Linked DNA regions of Coturnix japonica. The protein of the gene in region 1 purifies or fractionates together with the protein of each later gene. This does not show direct contact. Links are inferred from orthologs where the notes say so. Each region holds a gene or a part of one and is shown on either strand. Other genes may lie near its edges.

Evidence for each region. The genes of interacting proteins can lie anywhere in the genome.
Region 2: the proteins of DNAJB11 (region 1) and SDF2L1 purify together in Homo sapiens (affinity purification with mass spectrometry; 3 studies listed by BioGRID and IntAct, counting the BioPlex papers as one, with this or other methods). This does not show direct contact. The link is inferred for Coturnix japonica from reciprocal best matches to the Homo sapiens genes DNAJB11 and SDF2L1.

Annotation. Positions count from the first base shown.
Region 1 is NC_029524.1:3,281,809-3,287,332, forward strand, and holds the start of DNAJB11 (dnaJ homolog subfamily B member 11), read left to right. Parts: upstream 1-1,905; 5' UTR 1,906-1,981; coding exon 1,982-2,049; intron 2,050-2,169; coding exon 2,170-2,326; intron 2,327-5,524. Other genes in the region: TBCCD1 (TBCC domain-containing protein 1), read right to left, coding at 1,083-1,232, 1,301-1,696. UniProt on the Homo sapiens protein: As a co-chaperone for HSPA5 it is required for proper folding, trafficking or degradation of proteins.
Region 2 is NC_029530.1:285,635-291,077, reverse strand, and holds the start of SDF2L1 (stromal cell-derived factor 2-like protein 1), read right to left. Parts: upstream 3,416-5,443; 5' UTR 3,365-3,415; coding exon 3,202-3,364; intron 2,696-3,201; coding exon 2,499-2,695; intron 1,487-2,498; coding exon 1,208-1,486; 3' UTR 1-1,207.

The DNA.
Region 1 (5,524 bases):
GGAAAGGAAGTGCAGAGGCTACAGCTTCTTAAAAAGAGAACCACAAAGACTATGAGAGATGCTTCACAAGTAACCAATCCCACTCCACCATGTCCACTGCCCACGTCCCTCAGTGCCACAGCCCCACAGGTCTGAACACCTTCAGGGATGGTGACTGCCCCACCTCCCTGTGCAGCATCTCACTGCTCTTTCCAAGAAGAAATATCCAAACTTAACCTTCCCTAGTGAATCTTGAGGGCATCACCTCTCATCCTATCACCATTACCTCTGAGAATAAACCTAAAGTTGCTATGCTCTCCTTTCCGTGAGCTGTAGAGAGCAATGAGGCCTTCCCCTCAGCCTCCTTCTCCAGGTTATATATGGGTGTGTCTTACGTGGATATAACTACTGACGTTTTAGCAACAGTTACATGGAATACATCAAATTTATCAGCTATAAATAAACCGGCCCCATCCCTACCCCTCCTGGTGTCCCCAGCTCCGACCTCGTCCCCATCCCCGCTGCCAGCTCCATCCCCACCGCTCTCCCCATCCCGGTCCCCACCACCACTTCCATCCCCATTCCCGTCCCTATCCCTTCTGCTGTCACCACCCTCACCACTATTTCCATTTCCACTATTTTCCTTGACTTAGGGAACTGGGTCTGTTTAGCCTTCAAAAAAGAAGGCTGAGAGGGGACTTGATCCAGGTTTATTAATACCTGAGATGTGGGAGCCATAGTGGTGAGTCTGGTCTCTTTTCATTAGTGTGTGGGGACAGGATTAGGGGTAATGGGATGAAAGTACAGCATAGGAAGTTCTGCACAAATGTGTGGAAGAACTTCTTTACAGTGAGGGTGACGGAGCACTGGAACAGGCTGCCCAGGGAGGTGGTGGAGTCTCCTTCTCTGGAGATATTCAAGACCCGCCTGGACGCCTTCCTGTGTGACATGGTGTAGGGAGCCTGCTTTGACAGGGGGTTGGACTCGATGATCTCTAGAGGTCCCTTCCAACCCCTACAGTTCTGTGATTCTATAAGGGGTGGCAGCTCGCTCTGCTCAGGGAGGCCCAGTAGAGCAGCCTCCCCTCCCCACAGCCCCATTACCTTGCTCTGCCCCGCGGCCCTGCCCGGCAGCCCGGCAGCTCTAGCCCTGGGGCTGGGCCACTCCTCGCCGATGAGGGACGTCCTCAGGGAGGCTTTGTTCAGCTGCTGCAGGTAGAGGAAGAGCAGGAAGCGCAGCGTGTCCACGGCGAGCTGCCGAGAGGGGAGATGCCGTTAGGTGCCGCCGGCCGCCCCGCTCCCTCCCCATCCCCGGTCCCTGCCTTGCCGCGCTCCCGCTCCAGCTCCTCGCCGTTCCCACACGCCGCCTCGGCCTCGGCTCGCTGCAGCCTGCGGGGCGGATCGGGAGGAGGGAGGAGGCCGTGGAATCGCTCGAAGTACAGCCAGGCCAGGTCGCGGCCCAGCTGCAGTTTATCACAGGCGATGTACCGCCAACGCGGCCAGCTCAGCCGCGGGTAACAGCCCTCGGCCGCCCTCGCCCGCGTGTACGCCGCCATTTTGCGCAGGTAGTGTGGGCCCAAGCGGGCGGGGGGCGGCACGGGCAGCGCGCCCAGCAGCAGCGGCTCCGTCCGCGGCCATAGCGACACGGCGGCCGCCATGACAGCACCGCCAACCAACCAGACGACGCTTCCCGCCTCCCCTCGGGAGCCGCTCGCCATTGGCTACCGGAGCCGGCGCGGAGGCGGGAAGAAGCGACACGCCTTGCGATTGGTCGGCGTCTTCTCCTTCCGGCTCTCTGCGATGCGATTGGGCCGCGGCCGCGAGGCGGTGGTGAAGTGTGCGCAAGCGATTGGTTGTCAGCTCGATCCGCGCGGGGCCGGGCCGCTCCCCAATGGCTGGCGGCTATGGTTGGGTCGCGCTCTCATTGGCTGGCGGCTGCGGCCGGGCGCCGGCTTCGTGTGTGAGGGACGGGCTGCGGGCGGCGGGCTCCTGTCGGCCCGGCCATGGCCCCCGGCTGGCTCGGCCGAGTGTGTCTGCTCCTGCTCTGCCTCTGCGGGGAGGCCGCCGCCGGGTGAGTGCTCCCGGGGGGCTGTTCTTCCCTTATCCCCTCCCTCCTTCCTATAGGCCTGCGGCTCCACAGCGCACGGCCCGGCCCAGCTGACGGGGCCTTCTCTCTTGTCTCGCCCCTCAGGAGGGATTTCTATAAGATCCTGGGGGTGTCCCGAGGCGCCTCCGTGAAGGACATCAAGAAGGCGTACCGCAAACTGGCGCTGCAGCTGCACCCCGACAGGAACCCCGACGACCCGCGGGCACAGGAGAAGTTCCAGGACCTGGGGGCTGCCTATGAGGTGGGGATGGGCTGTGGGCGGGGAAGGGGGCTCAGGAGGGAACCGAGTGGTACAACGGGCTGGACCAGGCGTTGAGGCACCGTCCTGTGGCTGTCAGGGCAATGTGCAGGTCCAGAACGGCTGTCACAGAATCACAGAATGAGCCGGGTTGGAAGGGACCTCAAGGATCATGTAGTTCCAACCCCCCTGCCTGGCAGGGCCACCAAACATACACCTTTACTAGATCAGGTTGCCCAGGGCCCCGTCCAACCTGGTCTTGAACACCTCCAAGGACGGGGCATCCACAACCTCCCTGGGCAGCCTGTTCCAGGGCCTAACCACTCTCCTAGTGAAGAACTTCCCCCTAACATCCAACCTAAATCTTCCCTCTTTTAACTTAAAACCATTTCCCCGTGTCCTGCTATTGTCAGCCCTTTCCAAGAGTTTACTCCCCTCCTGGGAGTAAGTTCCCTTCAGGTACTGAAAGGCTGCAATGAGGTCAAGACTCAGGGACGAATTCCCACATAAATGATTCCCTATGGGGCGCTGCTGTCATCCCTTCTCACCTGTTAAACGCTGTGTTGAATTTCAGGTGTGATGCCTGATAACAAAGCAGAGAGGCTGCCAGGCTGACCTGGGAAGTCCGCTTGTTTGAGGGCAATAAAGGGCAGCAGTTCACCTTGCTGGGGGAGTGTGCGGAGCTCGAGCTGTTTGATCTTATTAATAGTTGTTTGAGTACAAAAAGGGAATGCATCAGCTGTGAGTGTTGGCACAGGAACTCATTTGTTTGTATGTGTAGAGCGTGACTGTAAGTTTTGGCTGGTAGGAAGTGAAAGGCTGTTGGTCGCCTTCTAGTAAACATGTTGAAGGGTGAAAAGTCATTGCTGAAGCCCCGTATGCTTAATGAATTCTGTTATATCTATCCTAAGGCATAGCATTTAAGTAATAATTCATATTTCTAGCATCACACACTGCATAAATCACACATAAACTGTTTTATTACCCAACATTTGTAAGTCAAAGTCTGCTTTTCCCTCTGCTGTGGATGGTGGGCTGTGTTTCCTTCATGTCCTCTGTCCTTTAGCTTCCCATCTCAGAATCATAGAGGTTAAAAGGGACCTTGGGTCCCATCTAGTTAACAGACCTGCTAGAGTAGGTTCCCTATAGTAGATTGCACAAGAAAGCATCCAGGTGGGTTCTGAACGCCTCTAGAGAAGGAAGGAGACTGCACAACCAATGTGAGCAGCTTGTTCCAGTGCTCTGTCACCCTCAACAGCATAGAGATTGATTATTCCTTGTGATTGTATGGAGCTTTGTGTTTCAGTTTTTGCCCATTGCCCCTTGTCCTGTCACTGCACACCACTGATAAGAACCTGGCCCCTTCTGCTGGTTTCTTCCTGCTTCTCCTCATAGAACAGAGGAAAGCTCCTGAGGAAGAGCTGTCAGTTTAGGTAGGAGGTTTGTGCTAGCTTTGAGGAGCCAGGCCATAGGACAATCTGTATCCCATTGTTATCTTTAGGAGTAAAAGGGATTATCTTCCTACCTGGGCTGATGCTGTAGCTGAACCTGTGGCCATAGGTTCCTGCTGCTGTCCCTGCTGCTGCTTCCTTCTTCTGGCATGTAAATATAAAATGACTGAGGAAGTGAGGTGAGAAGCAGCTTGAATGTTTTCAGAAGAAAGACATTAACTTTTTTGTGTGCGTCATACAGTTCCTTTTAGTTCAGACTTCTATTCTTAAATAAGTTAACTTAGTCTCACAACAAAGTTGGTGAGTGTAAATAATTCTTTGGTGGGAGATGCGGAATTTACCGTCTTTGATTTGAAGGCTGATTCATGCTTCAAAGCTGTGGGCTTGGTGTAGTTTATGTGAGCTGGGGCCTTGTTGTACTTGACAGCGCTTAATGCACAGGGAGCGTTTATGTGTTCTCGGGGTTCCAGTTTATGTCTTACCACAGAAGCAGTTGAAAGGGTCTTTCCTACAGCAAAATATTAGGGAAGAAGCAGCTGTAAAATCATAAAACAGTATAGGACGTAGTGGCAGAGGCAGCAAAAATTGAGTGGTGACAATTTACCTTCCTTTCCCTTGCCAAGGTGCTACTAAAATACAGAGCCTGATTTCTTCAGCATAAAACCTGGAGTTCTTTTGCTAAGAGGCTTCTTCACGTAGCACCTGTTAGTGTCAGGGTGGTTTGGGGGCTGGAGTTCATCTTGGTTTTGGTTTTCAGCTTATCTGCTGAATTGCATTGCTTTTGAGGCAACCTAACATGGGCAAGAACTCTATACAGTATTTGGAGTGCTGTGTTCTTGAACCTCCAGAAGCCTGCTAAGGAAGCAAAGTGAATGGAAAAGCAAATATTTTGTATTCTTTATTCCTTTCTTTCTTGTAACATTGTTAGTAGTCTATTAATGGACTGTGGAACTTAACCCAGTTTTCTCAGGTGGGTGTTGTGTTGCATATCTTAGGCGGCACAGGGAGAGCTGAGCTCTTAACCTTTAGTCCTGGAAAGGTGAAGCCAGTACTTCAAGTCACTGTTTTGTTTTTCTTCTAACCTCTCTTGCTGCTGGCATTTATCATTACCTACAATTGGAGGCTGCCTTTCATCATTAAACCAGCTTTTCTCCAGCTGTTTCCATTCCTCTCTGAAATCTAACCTGGCAACTTCAGCCTTCCAAAAAATAGCCAGTGGGCCAGGAAAGGGAAGGAAGGCAAAATCTGGCTGGAAATCTGTGGAGTGGAGAATAAAAGCAAAGATAATACCTAGGAATTAAAACTGAAGCTTTGTGACCTTGAGTGCTGTCTATTGGGATGCACTGTTCTACCTCAGGACTGAGATTGCTCCTGAATTTTGCTGCCCATAGGAACTGAGTCAGTGTTGAAGTTGGTGTGGAGTTATTGTACTCAGCAGGTTCAGCTTGGTAGGCAAACTTGCTGTCATTGCTAATAATTATGAACTATGTGTCAGATAAATGAATTCCACGTGCTTAAAGAACTGAGAAACCAGGGCTCTATTACATGTTACGTGATTTTCTTCTTTTCACAGAGGAGCAGTTCCTGCTTTGTAAGACATGATTTTGAGTTATTATCCCCTTCTGAGTCTCTCTCAACTCATTCAGAGTAAACTCAATATATTTTTAATATCCTCTGTGTTGCATCTGCCATTTTAATATATTAATTCTAACTTTTATGAGGTTAAACAACACAAGAAATGTTTAATTTC
Region 2 (5,443 bases), on another chromosome or scaffold:
ATAACGTTCCTCCTTCATTAACTGACTAATTGGGACCATAGTCAGTAAACTAGTTATACATGGAAAAAACCAACACCTGAATTTGCTGACTTTTCACACTCACTTACTGAGCTTTTCTCTTTAAAGCAATTAGAAAATGTCTGGTAATTTGTGCTTCAGTCAGTATTTCTTGTAATACACTGGAATAAAAGTGTTCAAGAGTTAGATTTTTTTTCCATTCTTTCCACAGAACACAGAAATTAATGCCTCATGCAATGAAGATTCCTTGCTCTACAGATTACCCCTCTGTTCAAAGTCCAGGACCAAACCATTTTCTAAGATTTACTCTCTCCTGGATTCGCACAGCAGAGCCCCACACGGCTGTAAGTCCCACTGCTTATACACCTGGATTCTCATACTGAGCTTGCAATGACATGCAAGAACAACATAAAGCAAATTTATTCACATCACATGGAATTTTATAAAATTCTAACATTAATTAAACAAGTAGGAGCCTTCTGCACCAGTTCCTAGAGCACAAGTCTTACCGTCTGAGAATTAGCAGTATCACAATCAATCAGCAGAAAAAAACCCACAAATTTCTTCAGAGAAAGGTAAGAAATAAAAACTTGTCCTCTTCAACATACACAGCATTTTCAACTTTTCCATAAATACACAACAAAACTCATGAAACACATTGGAAGCAATTTTCAGATGGACTGAAATATTTTTCTGGAAGTAGCAGAATTTGACTCACTTAAGAGACAGCAAGAACTATTTTCCCTTTCTAGACTTACTCCAGCTCTTCATTAATAGCATTCTCTCACTAGCTAGAAATAAGTTTCCAAATATTTAATTATAACTGAAAAAAAATTACAAAATACAAAGTTTTGCGGTACCTGGGACTACAGAGATGTACTACTTTGTTTTTTCAATTTCTTTTGAATTGGAGAAGTAACGACAAAACAAATGACAGAGAGAACTAACACGTATGATCTAGTTTCACCAAATAAGATTGAAGATTTAGATAGGATGTTTTAAATAAACGTAAAATGTCTTAGCCTGGCAGATGTCATTCCCACAGAAGTGCAGCATTCCTAGAATGAACTAATGCCCTTCAGTAACACAGAAAGTCTATCACTTAGGCAAGGTGGGACTTTTTAAGAGACCGAGTATTAGCATCTCTGACCATGGGAGTAGGATGAACCTTATTGGATCCTCTGGCAATTCAGAGCTCATCATGTTTTGCAAGGTCCATACTGGGTTTGATGAAGACTCCTTCCATTGCTTTCCAATAGTTGTGGTGATTAGCGGTGGGCATGCCATGAACTTCCCGTTGGCCTCTAATGGGATGGCCATATTGCTCCCCAGTGATTGAAAGGAACACCTCAGTTCCTACGTGCTTGAAGCGCACTGCATCCTCCCGCTCCCAGTGTGTCCCACTGCATTGCACAATCCATATATCGAGGTCATCTCCTTCACCATCATCACCAAAGGCACTTACTTCCTGTTAGAAACACAAATCTCCTGAAGTGAAAATATAAGCAAACACAACCAATGCACACACAAAAACAACAGCCACAAAGCCAGCAGAATTTAAAGGCAAGGATGCAGAGGAAAGAAACACGGCCCTGCTGTCAGCAGCAATTCAATCCAGAAGCAGTAACTCTGCGACTACAAACTCCACCACATAACCTGAGCACAGTGCCAACAAACCACAACAGACATTAGGAATTAAAGACAACTTGAGCACAGAGATCAGAGCAATCCTTCTGTAAAACAATTTCACTAATGGTGACATCAATTTGTAACTAAGTATCTAATTTTGTAGCACAATGCTTCACAGTTATCACTGCAGCTTTTAATCACAAGGTCCCAACATTTTAACTCATTAATTGTATTCCTTTTATTTTATTATATTAAGATTACAAGTTAACAACTATTTCGGTTTGCACTGCTGAACAGATGACTGAATGGCCCTTTAAAAAATAAAGACGGCCAACCACAAAGGCAAATAAATTCCTGCTAAAACAAAAGTTAGAGATCAGATTTTATTATGTGCCCCCACATAACTCCAAGTATTTTCATAAACCCGGTAGGCTCAGCTCCAACTGTTTAAGACTCAGCACAGACTTAAAAATCAGATGGCTAGAAGTGATTAACCACTTGAAAACAGAACTGCAATAGTTTGTACCTATCAAGCTAATAATATAGGGTCATGTTAATTCAAGCTTGTGCAGTCCGTGCAGTGTCAGTGACAACACACCGATTGAAAATCAAACTTGTTTGTTAGGAATATGAAATAAAAGTTTATACTCAGAACCACGCCTCATTTCAACAAGATAATAAGTCACAGACCAATCAGTCTCTAGGAAACCACTCTGCATATCCAGAGATGCCTTATTTCTGGCATCTGGTATCTAAGACTGATTCTTCAAAACCAAGAAATCTGGAAAGAGGTATTGTCAATTTCAATCACGCACTATTTGTACAAAAACTTATGATTTAGAGCCACTTACCTGGTTATTGGAGAGCGGTGATGGGAAGTGATGAGTGTGTAAGTTTTTTCCTGTGTTTACATGAGTAAGCCGTATTGCCTGCCCGCATCTCACTGGGGTTCCACGCTGGCAGCTGCCATCCGTCTTCCCACGAATCCGCCAGTAACTGTTGGCATCATCTGAAGCTTCAACTCCTGTCACTGACTGCTGCCCACTTCCTGTTGGAACAGAATTAAATGGCAGGAGACCTAACCCGCTTCTGGAGCTCAGAAAGTCCTGGAAGAACGGAAGGAAGCTGCTTTAAACTCGAAGGCGTGACAACACTACGAACACACTTCATTCTCAGTCCTTTTATTGACTCCAATGGGAATGCAGGTACCGTACCCTCCACACTGAAGAACGTAACCGAGGCCGCTGTCTCAGCACAGGGCTCACCTCAGGGAGCGCAAAGCACCACAGAGGCAGGAGATGCGGATCCAGCCGTACGGCCCTGCCGCCCCCCCGCCATGTCTCCCATCCCATCTCACCCCACCCCATCCCACCCCTCAGCCCCATCGCTGTCCCGGTAACAGCCCGGAGCAACGTGCGGCTCATTCCCCGACCCCCCGCAGCCTCCATTTCCCGCCCATTTCCCGCCCGTTTCCCGCTGCCCCTCTCCCGCCATTTCCTCTCCTCCTCAGGGCTCCTCCCGCCCCTTGGCAGCTCCCGGCCCGCTCGTGCTCACCGGAGCCGTACTTGACCTCGTGGGAATGCAGCCGAACGCTGTGCCGGGTGTTGAGCAGCTTCAGCACCGACCCGCAGGTCACAGCGCCCGGCTCCGTGCCGGCACACAGCGCACACAGCGCACACACAGTGAGCAGCGGCAGCAGGCGGCGGCCGCCCCACATCGCGCCGCCACGGCCGGCACCGCCGCCACACAGCGCAGCGCAGCGCGCTTCCGCAGCCCCTCAGCGAGCTCAGCCAATCGCGCCCCGCCAGCACCGCAGTCAACCAATTGCAGCCCTCCCTCCTCACGGTCTCCTTCTCGCATTGGACCACGGCCGACGGAATTCGCTGCTTGGCAGGAGGAGCTCATTGGGCCCGAGGAAAGGAGCGACCAATCAGAGCGAGCGGCGTGGCGCCTCTCAGGGCGGGACGCGATGGCGCGCAGTTACCTCACGGCGCCGTGCCGTACCGTGCCGTGCTGCGGGGCGGCCTTTGCGGGCCGTGTGTGTCCCCCCAGCTCCCAGCCCTCAGTGCGGCTGTGGGCAGCGCGGAGCGTTGCGATCCATCGAGCTGCCCCTTCCTGACAGCGGGGTGTCACAGCACAGGTTGGTTACAGCAGCGTTCTCATCTAGCGCGTAGTCGGGACTGTAAGGGAAATATTACCGGGTTACAGGCCTTGCAAGGAAACACAGACAACTTGTGTGGTAGCACAGCTGTATGTGAGAGCTGCTGGTGCTGGGGCAGCAGTACGGCACAGGCCGCTAACGCTGAGTGCTGTTCGTCTGGCTGTGGTGGTTGTGGCTGTGCTTTTGCACCTGAAAGTTCATCTGCTGCCATTCAGTCCCTTTTGTAAACTTACTACGAGGTAAAGAGATTATTATAACCTGTTATGTACAAAAGGAAACTGGATTAAAGCATTGTACTTCATTGCATTGTACTGCAGAGTGAAGGATTTCCTCCCCTGCAAATAATAACAGTACAGCCGCCTTTTTCAATAGGGAACAGCTATGGACAACGGACACAGGAACTCCTACAAAGTCCATTGGCTTTTGCCTCTGAAACTCATCACTGAATTGACCCGTATCTCAGAACAGTCTGGTGTAACGCTCCCCAGATCAGTGTCATTTAACAGGGGAAAAGCTTCCCTTAGCAGTGCCATAGCATGTAGGAGAGACCTGCCTTGGGATAAGGCATTGTATTCTGCATTGGCAACAGCACAGAACTTCAATATCACAATTATATCATCACGGGATGATTTAGAAAACACATTAGTGCTGCTGGCTGGTGGAAACATCATTTGATGCTCAGATGAGCAGCAATCTTTATCTCTTCCACCAGTCCTGAGGTGACCCCACTCACTGAATGGTCGGGTTTTTTTCATGCTGGCCTGTTTCATGTATCTTAATGTCCGGCCTTAGAAGAAGCCTGTGTCCCAAACACAGTCACACATTCACGTTTGTGTGCACACACACAAGCCCGCTGTGTTTATCTGAGGATTAAAGCTTCCTAGTTGCAGCAGTGTGTTTCTTCACACACACTAAATAAAACATCTTACCTTGATTGCCAAATGCTACATCTCTGTCATTCTAAGAAACCTTGCTAAGACAGGAGCTCACATTTGCAGTCGTTGTTACACACACGGCACAGACAGATGTCCAAGTTGCCATTTTAGCCGTGGAAAATCAATGGTATGCGGCTTTAGCTGGCACCTGTCTGTCCTCCTGGGAGGTCGCTCAGCCTCAGTGCAGTTAGTGCCACGTACACGGTGCTCCCTGCAATGCTTTCGGTTGTACTTTAGAAACGTCATTGGGTTAGAAGTGTCCAGCAGAGAACCCCATCAGTGCCAAATAGCAATGGCAATTAACAGCCACCTCATGGCTACAGGGCCACCATTGTTTCCAGTGGAATACTGTAAGCTGCAGGTAAACCTGCCACTGAGATAATCTAATGGTGCGTGTTGGGAATGGAAATATCAGCATATTTGATTGGAATCTCATCGTGCTGCTGCTTTACACACACACAATAATTCAGCAGCGCTGCAGAAGCGAAGCATCCAGCCTGTAACAGCAGCGCCTTCTGTTTGCAGACACTTAGCCCTGCAATCATTTCACATACTTGATTTTCAAGGACTGAAAGTGCCTCCAGTTTCCACTCAGGTGCAGCTCTAAATATAACCTGGCCCTCCCTGAAGGGCAGTTTTTAATGTAATTGAAACCCGGCTGAGAGCGGGTTGCCCGGTACCTCCTGCCCGCGGGGCCGTT